Tribolium castaneum: one gene and its partners. The protein of the gene in region 3 purifies or fractionates together with the protein of the main gene of each other region. This does not show direct contact. Links are inferred from orthologs where the notes say so. Each region holds a gene or a part of one and is shown on either strand. Other genes may lie near its edges.

Evidence for each region.
Region 1: the proteins of RNA-binding protein cabeza (region 3) and mle purify together in Homo sapiens (affinity purification with mass spectrometry; 4 studies listed by BioGRID and IntAct, with this or other methods). This does not show direct contact. The link is inferred for Tribolium castaneum from reciprocal best matches to the Homo sapiens genes FUS and DHX9.
Region 2: the proteins of RNA-binding protein cabeza (region 3) and Sf3a1 purify together in Homo sapiens (affinity purification with mass spectrometry; 3 studies listed by BioGRID and IntAct, with this or other methods). This does not show direct contact. The link is inferred for Tribolium castaneum from reciprocal best matches to the Homo sapiens genes FUS and SF3A1.

Annotation. Positions count from the first base shown.
Region 1 is NC_087394.1:36,799,361-36,803,120, reverse strand, and holds the start of mle (dosage compensation regulator), read right to left. Parts: upstream 2,841-3,760; 5' UTR 2,298-2,840; intron 2,245-2,297; 5' UTR 2,244-2,244; coding exon 2,162-2,243; intron 2,119-2,161; coding exon 1,635-2,118; intron 746-1,634; exon of another isoform or gene 659-745; intron 606-658; coding exon 1-605. UniProt on the Homo sapiens protein: Multifunctional ATP-dependent nucleic acid helicase that unwinds DNA and RNA in a 3' to 5' direction and that plays important roles in many processes, such as DNA replication, transcriptional activation, post-transcriptional RNA regulation, mRNA translation and RNA-mediated gene silencing.
Region 2 is NC_087397.1:12,575,625-12,579,284, reverse strand, and holds the end of Sf3a1 (splicing factor 3A subunit 1), read left to right. Parts: intron 1-2,106; coding exon 2,107-2,247; intron 2,248-2,296; coding exon 2,297-2,447; intron 2,448-2,497; coding exon 2,498-2,673; intron 2,674-2,723; coding exon 2,724-2,897; intron 2,898-2,949; coding exon 2,950-3,051; 3' UTR 3,052-3,109; downstream 3,110-3,660. Other genes in the region: xylulose kinase, read right to left, coding at 3,113-3,319, 3,425-3,660. UniProt on the Homo sapiens protein: Component of the 17S U2 SnRNP complex of the spliceosome, a large ribonucleoprotein complex that removes introns from transcribed pre-mRNAs.
Region 3 is NC_087395.1:19,586,652-19,589,100, forward strand, and holds the end of RNA-binding protein cabeza, read right to left. Parts: intron 1,951-2,449; coding exon 1,832-1,950; intron 1,633-1,831; coding exon 1,362-1,632; intron 1,158-1,361; coding exon 809-1,157; intron 759-808; coding exon 713-758; 3' UTR 513-712; downstream 1-512. UniProt on the Homo sapiens protein: DNA/RNA-binding protein that plays a role in various cellular processes such as transcription regulation, RNA splicing, RNA transport, DNA repair and damage response. Binds to ssRNA containing the consensus sequence 5'-AGGUAA-3'.

The DNA of each region.
Region 1 (3,760 bases), on a different chromosome or scaffold from region 3:
TTATGATAACGGGATTATCGTTAATTGCGGCCATAATTTGCCCCTTCATTGAATACACTGGCAAACCTTGTCTCTCACTAATGATAGCTTTCAAATCAACGTCATGATTCAATTTTTGTTTGGTTTCTTCGGCCAAATGTTCGCTCAACTCGTCCAAGTTGGCGTTGGCAAGGGGGCCCTCATCAATGTTGCACCCAGTCCAAGGATTCCAATTTTGTTGAGGAGGCGACCATGGGACAACTCCTGCAGCTATCGGTTTGGAGGCTTGAAAGTCGTCCAAAATGTGATTGCTCAAAAGTGAAACCGGTTGGCTTTCGCTTTCCGGTTTAACCTCAACCGGAGTGATATTCAAAGTGTCGAGGCAATCTTTGATTTGTTTTTGTAAATCTGGGGAGATTTTTACATCGAAAGGTTTCATTTCACTGCCGGTTTTCTCTTTTTTAAGTGTTCCGGAAAATGCTTCAATTACACCGAGATGGAACAGTTGGCGAATGATGGAAAGAGCGCAACTTTTACTAGCGGTTTGCTTATTTGAACCGGAATCACGACCGGTTATTGTACGTCCGAGTTGCTTGACGTAGAAGCTCATTTCGGCCACAAAAGTCCTAAGAAATGGGAGCATTACAGTTGAGAAATAGGGGATTAAAAGTATACTTACAAGTGTATAATGCAGAGTTTTTATATTGTACCTTGGAGGAAAAACAGAACCAAGAACAGTAAAATATTTGAGTTGTTCCCACGGTAGCTGCAGTGGAAAATTATTATTTAAGAAACTACTGCAAGAAGTAAAACAGAAGTTTCATAAATAAAAAAATGACCTCAAAGTTACTAATTTTTTAATCAAACCAGTAACTCTATTATCAAAATGCCATTCAATTGGTTAAATAAAACATAAACGCATTCACAACTTCCTTCTTTCCAGAAAGAAAATCGTGAATTTTTTGGTAAATAAACGAAATAAATTATTCTATCCACTGTACTTAGTTCTGCTTTTCCACCTCTACTATTTTTTCTCTGCAGAAAAAAATAAAAAAGATAGAAAAATTTTAATTTCTTCAATCTTTCATTTTTTTCTAAAAATTTTCAAACCATAAATAGTCAAACAATAACAATAATCCTTCTGGCAGAAATGTTGGTTTTTTCAAAGCCAGAAAAAAAAATCGTGAATGGATAAAATAATAATGAAAATAAATTATTCTATCCACTGTTCTTGGCTTTGCTTATCTGTCTTTACTCCTTACATTTTTTTATTATTTCTTCTATTGGTGCCTCATTCTCTATTGCAGATTTAATTAAAAAAAAAAAAAAACAACATTTTTTCCTTCTTTTCGTTTTTTTTTCTATTTTTGGTATTTTTTATTATGTATATTTATTTTATTATTACGGTTCTTTCTTTATTTTTTATTCTCGTTCTCTTATACAAAAAATATTTAAAATAAACAGTGCAGGGGAAATGTTAAATTTCCAAGGCCAGAAGAAAAACGTGAGTAAACAATAAACAAAATAAATTATTCTGTCACTGTTCTTGGTTATGCTCTATTATTTTATTATTTTTCAGTTTTTCTACTGTGCCTATTTTTCTCTCTCTCCTCCCCCCACACAAACTTCCATCTACTCACTCTCTCAATACCAACCTGGAATGGTCTGGCCCCACTTGCGTATACTTATAATCCGCGTGTATTTTATTGCTTTGCATAAACTGATGCAGCTTTGACTTTGCATTCTCCACAGTCCAATTGCCATGAATCTGAGCATTCACATCCAAATCCTCTGCATCCTCCACACTCTTCTGTTCCTGCGCCCTGTTCATGTAATGCCAATCGTCGTGATCGCGCCCCAGAGGCCTGTAGGCCTCCCCAAACGACGAGGGCCCCATTCCCTGTCGAAACACCGAAGGGGCGGGCCCCCGATTCATCGGAACGGTGTTTGGACCTGGAGGCGCATCCTGGAAGTCGGGCACGTCGGCGGGGTTAACAATGCCTTCCCGGACGAGGTAACTGACGAAATCGCGGGCGGCGTTGCTTTGGGCGTCCTTTTTGTTGGTGGAATTGCCAGCCCCCACGTAACTGTAGCCATCGATGCGGACTTCGCAGAGGAATCTCTGGCGGTGTTTGGGGCCTTTGGGGAAATTAGTAAAGGGTGAAAAGGGGCTGCGGCTTACCGGTTGGCCGGACTTCAAACTGGGGCTGCTCTTTCTTGGTCTTCTGGCAGAACTGGTGCAAGAATGATTTTATATCGGACATCCTATTGAAATTTCGTATTTTTTAATCGAAGAAAATGCCGGTAAAAAATACGACCTTGGAAAAGTTTTGACATTTAACCACAGAATAGAGTCCGCGAAATGACAGATCGTCCACGGTGGTAGGAGTGCGCAGAGACGAAAACTCGTCTCGGACGAGTCCAATCTTTAAATTAGGGGTGTTGGCAGAAAACAGTGGCGTGGCGTGTACTTACATGTGTAGGGAATTCGTCTTAAAGTTTAACATTTCAATATTACCAGTTATAGTAAAGATACCAGTAGAAACATTTTTTGCAATAAACGCGTTTTTACTCTTTACTCATTGTGTATTTTTATTTATTCGACCTCTCTGCTTTGTATTTCTAGGAAATCAACGTGTATTAGCATTAGATATGATTTTTACTATTTCATCTTGCAATTATTGAATAGAGGAAATTTTAACTACTACAAATTATGAATCTCAAACCCTTCTTGATCATAGAATAGTTTTTTGCTACGCCACTGCTCAATCTCCTCACTCGATGAAGTACGCATTGGCTCCGCCTATCGTGGTCGTTTACAGAGTTTCCGAGCTCTACCACTAATTTTCGCACTAAAATTTCACATTGCCAGTTTCTGTTTAAATATAAACATGCATTTTTATTTTTCCATTAACTGCATGCGAAACTTTTATAATTTTAGACGTTTATAGACAAATACATTTGTCATAATTAACTTTTCTAGATCAATACTGTTCTATTTTGAATAATTCTGTGTATGAATGTTTCTAAATTTGACGGATTTGGACAGTGAATGTTTCTGGTTATGACTTGTTTTAGACGTGTGATGACGTCACATCCGAGGTTAGGTGTGCGGCGCAGGCGGCGAGGGCGGTTCAGTCGACAGCGAGCAGTGGCACGGGTCAGATCGGGAGCGGAAGCGGGAGGCGAAGCGAGGTGAGTCGGTTTATTTAAATTATTGTGTATTGTGCGGTTTCGTTCAATTTATTCAGTTTGTTACTTGCCGTTGTCGCGAACGGACGTGTGTTCAAGCAAATCTAAATTTTCCGGTTTAAATTTTCAATTCGGTGGCTAGTGATCGCGTTTGAGTGACACATTTTAAATACAGTAAATAAAATTATTATCAAACACTCAAATAATTTATTGCCACGTAATAATTTTGTCTTTAATTTCAATGAATGAAAGTGGCTTGCTCAAAATTTAATGCAAATAAACATTTTTTTGGTTTCATTTTTATTATTATTTTTTTTAATGCTACAAACGGTAGCCAACGAGGAAGCGATATGAAGGTAGGTGTATTTTATTGCTGTGTCGTATTTATTTATTTCACAAACCAATAATTTCATAAAACTTAATTGCAATTAAAATCTTTAAATGCGGTGTTGAAAGTGACATTTTGAGTGACGCATTTTAGATACAGAAACTATAAATAAAATAAAACACTCAAATAATTTATTGCCACGTAATTTTGTCTTTAATTTCAATGAATGAAAGTGGCTGCTCAAAATTTAATGCAAATAAA
Region 2 (3,660 bases), on a different chromosome or scaffold from region 3:
ATAAATAACAGATTTTAGATAAATGATATGTGGCAACGTTGTCTAACAGTCATGATCGCAATAGAATTTGAGCAACAATAAAAATACATTATTTTTGAAACGTTTTCCTAGGAAATAATTCCCAGTGTTGTCACATCTACACATTGTGATTTTTTGGATAAATTTTAATTTTTGTAAATTAAAAAAACTGCTAAAGTCTGATAGAAAATTTAAAAATAATTATTCATCGTTTTGTTACGGATCGATTACCTGGTATGAAAATAAAAACATAAAAAAAATGAGAACTGAAGAAGTTAACAAAATAAGTTTGTAGCTCCAGATTTTTTAAAATATGACTTTAGGAATTTTTTCAACATTTTTCCCGTAATCTGCACTTGCTTCTCAATAACGTACTACTGAGTTGGTGCGCCAGTTTTTGAGCACCATCTTCGACGAAATCAAACTAATTGGAAAAAAGTTTACAAACCTTAAAATTTTAACATATTTGAACACTTCTACAAGCTATATATCAGTTTTTTCAAATGGAATTTTTATTTCAGTAGGTGGAAAAATGTAATTCTTCAACGATCTGTATTAGCATTAACTATACCTATCTGTGATAATTTTTAAGTTATGTTGGTTTTTTTTGACATTGCCCGAGGTTCCTTACTAGCAAGAGCTATTTTTGCAGAGTTTTACAAGGAAACATTTCTCACTGAATAAGCGATAAGCTCTGTTCAAAATTTTGCTTTCCTTTCCATTAAAACAAATAAATTCATTGAATTTAGATTTGAAAAACTTTAGATTTCTTATACAGGGTGTATCAGGAATACGTGTCTTAATTTTGACAGGTAATAGACTTCAGCAAATATAAAAACATTCTATTTGTAATTTTTCAACAAAAAATTCGCAAATTTACTTAAAATTTGGAAAAAGATAACATACTGAAACGTGTACCTGCCTATGGGTACAAAAATAAGAGAGCCGAACTATTTTCATTGTGATAGAAACGGAACATGTAAACAATTTAAAATAACAATAAAAATTGTTGCTATGAATACAAACTAATTATTAAACACTGACCGACTTGTTTCCACAAAAGAAACACGTATTTTTGATACAACCTGTATTTTACTCATGATTCCATGGCAACCTCGATGGCAACGCATGCGAAAAGCGCTATGGCATTTCTCAATACCAACAAAAAAATTCGTATAACTGTATGGAATTGATACAAAATTAAATTTTCTACCCTTTAGTGAAATAAAAATTGTGGAATTTCATTTAAAAATTTTGAGTTATTGGTATTTGGAGTGCTGCAACTTACTTTTTTAGTGTGAAGACACCAAAGAAAAGATTTTTTCTTTCAAACAAGCCAAAAAGGATTTAAACATTAAAAAAAAGCAGATTTTTCAAGTCAAAGATGCAAATCAAAATTTTTCAAAAAACTAAATATTTCGAAACCGATTAAATATAAGTATAAAAAAACTATTAAAAACTCCCTTAAAATAACTCAAGTAATCCAAAAATGCATTATTAAAACATAAATAGCTTTCCATTTAAATTAAGAAAGTTGATAACTACTTATGGGATAACCTTATTGAAAGTATTTTCATTGATCAGACTTAACGGATTATGGTTGTATACAAATTTTCAGATAACTATCATTATTTAGAACTCCCAATTCCCAATATATCTGGGGTTTAGACGGAACAGCGTGTACATAAATAACATCCAAATATCAAACAAATTTTTTTTCCGTTGGAGGTGGGCTTATGATAACCGTGTACTGTGCCGTGTTTTTTAACTTTTTAATTATTATACTTTATGTGAAATACTCTTACATGTTACGATTCTAATAATCTTTAATTTCTGGGTTTGTTTTTTATTATTAACTGTGATTTTTTAAACTCCCATCTCTATGATGAAAAGAGAAGGCATTATTCACGATGTTTTTATTTTAGTTACTCTTATTGTCGGTCTGTTTGCTGTAATTTCGAAATTTTCGATTTTTAATTATTATCTCGGTTCGGCTCTAGAGTTTGTCGTTTTTCTTTGTTGGTGAGACGCACATGTCGCGTCATTATGGCTATTGCGGTGCAGTAAAAAACAAACAAACATTTTTAGGTGAAAGGGCTATTGCCGGACGAGGAGAAAGAGAAGATCGGTCCGAAAAACGTGGTTGGTAGCAAAGCCCAGGCTAAAGTTAGCGCTGCGGCCGCTGCCGCTGCTATAATCTCTGCGAAACCTCTCGCAAATCCAAACCCGGTAAGTATGAACAGATTCCGTTCATTTCTCACTTGTATATATTGCTTAGCCGGTTAAAACCACACCGGTATCAGCAGTTATGCAAACACAAACTCAAACCATCGTTCAGGTTCCACAGCAAGCCACGATGCTACAACAGACGTCCATTATGATGATGCCAGCGCCGCCTATGGCTCCTATGCGGCCACCACCACTCATGAGTAGGTTTTTTTTTGCTTTTAATGAAACAAGTTATTAAGTTTTTCATTAGTGGCAGCACCTCCACCCATGGCCGGTTTTGTCACACCCATGGCCCAGATGCCACCCATGGGCGGAATGCCGGTCAAACATCCAAGTGAGACGCAACCGGAAGAAGAACCGTCGAATAAAAAAATGCGAAATGAGGATTCACTCATCCCTGAAGAAGTTTTCTTATCACGCAATCCGGTACGTTTGATCAAGTGTGCGCATGTCAAAATTACAATTTTAAATTACAGAATCCTGTTTCGATTAAAATCGCCATTCCGGTGGTTCCCGAAAAGACAGAATGGAAATTGACGGGACAAATGATGGCGTTGAATGTCCCACTTTCCGAAAGTGTTTCTTCAATCAAATCGAAAATACAGGAAGAGACCAATATGCCTCCGGCGAAACAAAAATTATTTTATGATGTAAATTTAATTATTAAATTTTTTTTGTTGGTTACTTATTTGTTTTTTCCAGGGCATGTTTTTCAAGGATTCAAACACGCTTGCTTACTATAATATCATCACGGGGGCTGTAATACAACTACAAGTGAAGGAAAGAGGTGGTCGCAAAAAATAAAGTGTATTTAATCAAGAATTCAAATAAATTATCACTAGAATGGTATATTTATTACGTATATTCAGACTTTATTTCCTAAAAGCATAGCCTCCAACTTTCTATATCGCGCAACCATTGGTTCGTAGATCTCACTAGCGTCGGAATATGGTTGACAAATGAGTCGTGGTGGGGGGAGACATGACGTAATCTCAAAGTAGTTACTTTGAGAGCCCAAAAGTCCGTGTTTCGCTTGATAAGCGGCCCCCAACATGGCCGACTTCGATTCGTCCTACATGAGTTACATAGTTATTTTTTCTATACTTTTGACAATGGCAGCGGCTTTTTGACTTTTAAATACAGTATAAAAACGCTAGTTAAAAAAGTTAATACTCACTAGGAGGTAAACAGGTGCGTTGAAGACGTCCGAAAGCACTTGAAGAATTGCTTTATTATTGGAAGCACCTCCCGTTGCTAGAATCTTCGTTTCTTTGTCCAATTTAAATCCAATGTCTTCGACGTAAGCCCGTCTTGCGATAAACTGTCCTTCAATCAAAGCCCGGACTTCGACTTCCAAACTTGTAAATCTTGTCACTCGTTCATTGGCTTTATTAAACCTGTAATCGCCGGACA
Region 3 (2,449 bases):
ACTTTTAAATTTACTATCAGACTAAGTTTCTTGAATATAAAATTTCTCAAAAAAATCACAATTTGTTGATGTGCCAACACTGGAAATTATTTCCTAGGAAACCGTTCCAAAAATACTTATTTTATTGTTGATCAAAATCTATTGCGATCACGACTGTTAGACAGCGTATTGGCCGTTTCAAAATTATAAAAACGCCAACGTCGTATTTTCTCTCAAAATTAGCTGTTATAAATTATTCATGCATTTCAAAAAAATAATAGCTAATGTTAATTTATACCTTCAATGAGAGATCTAATCCCCAATAACCATTTTACAATGTTGTGAATCTTATTTAAAGAAATAATTCGGTAAAATGCGACGTTGGCGTTTTTATAATCTTGAAACAGTTAATCGCCAGATACCATTTATTAAAAATTCGTTATTGTGAAGTTTTGAAGAAAAAAGTTGTTTATGAGTTATTTTTTGACTTTGCAGGAAAATGGAATTAGGAAAGGTCATACTATAACAAAAAGTAATTTGTACTTAAAAATGTATTATACATAAAATAATTATTCACTAAACATGCCATACTCGTGACCACTCAACTTCTCGTGTTGTGTAATTACTAGAAAACACAAAGCTTTAAATCTTATAGATCACCTTATAAAAACTGAAATGAATATGATACTGTAATGGAAATAAAACACTCATGAATCTATTTGGAAAAAATCTTCTAATACGGCCTGGAACGTCCTCCATCGCGACCGCCGCCACGATCCCTAAACATCAAAATTAAAATCTTTCCTACACCAAATTTTGTCACAAATACCTTCCGCCTCCTCCTCGACCGCCGCCGAAACCGCCTCGGCCTCCTCTTCCACCGCCAAATCCGCGACCTCCTCGATCACCACCGCGGAAACCGCCGCCACCACCTCTTCTATCTCTTCCACGGTCACGGTCTCTACCGCCTCCGCCGCCGCCTCCTCTGCGATCTTCACCCCCGGAACCGGCACCTTCCGGCTTATCTTCACTGCATCTATTGCACTGATTCCTCCAAGCAAAATTTGTGTTGCCACAGTCTGGGTTTGGACATTTCCAGTCTCCTTCGCGGCTTTCGCGGTCTCGGCCACCGCCACCACCGCCGCCGCCGCTACCGCCTCCACCACCACCGCCGAAACCTATACCAAACAATTATTGTTTGCCAATCAAATAAAAAAAATGTTTCCCTAGACAGGATACATCAGAAGCAACCAAACTGCTACTGTGTGTTTAATGGGGAATTAATCTGCCCCTTAAAATAAAAACAGATTTTGGCCTATTTTAGACAAATCTGGGTCGGAAGGGGTATTAATTTCTTTTAAAAAAATTGCAAACTCACGTACCTCCATCTCGGCCTCTTGGGCCTCCTCCAAAACCGCCCCCGCGGCCGCCACCTCTTCCACCTCCGCGGCCGCCACCGCCACTCCAATTATCCTTTTTCGTGGCCAACTGTACCCTTATTTGAGTACCACCGAATTCTTTCCCGTCGAACCAAGAAATTGCTGATTGAGCTGCATTGGAATCGTCATACGTAACAGTGGCTTCACCCTTTGAAAGTCCGGTCTGTTTATCTTTATACAACCAAATCTTCCGTTTCTGGGTTTTCTTGTCCATCTAATCGGAACGAAATAATCATTTCAAATTTGTCAAAAATGGAATTCTTTGTAGCAGATTGAATACACTTGTTTGCAAATATTTCTTGCAATCAAGGAATAGCATCTGTCATAATATTGCGACACATCAAAATTGAACTTGGTCAAGAAAGTGAATCCAAGCACAGAGTGCAGGTCGCTGAGTTTAGTCAAATACTTACTTTAATCACGCCAATCGAACCAAAATGTTGAGCAATTTCGTCTTCGGTGAGATTTGGATTCATTCCAGACACAAAAATCGTGTCGACTTGAACCACCAAGTTACTGCCGCCGCCATTATCTGGAAATTAATACGAAAATGATGTCAAGGGTGAAAAATAATAATTTTACTAAAATTAATTGTTGCGCCAACTAACTCAGTTCTCAAAAACTGTTTCACATCTTATGGTGTGTAAAAACAATACTATATACCTTTTCTCTTACTCTCTCACTCTGAATAAACCTTAAACTTGACCATAACGCACCTTGAAATAAATACCAATTTTTTAATTTAAGACCATTGCGTTTTTGATGCCATTTTACCACGCAATGAAGAAAAAAACCTTCTACAAAAAATAAAGTATGCACTTAGCGCTCAAACGGACAGCATTAAAAGTACTCCTCAATCGAAATTTGTCAAATACGTATCACAATATACCCAATAGAACCTTTTTATTTAATACCAATGAATATAAAAGGAAAAACTTTATTATCCTTTTACCTTTAATATATATATATTAAAATCATAGTACCTCATAAAACCATTCGTAACTTTTTGAAATCCCGATGTATAACAGGGT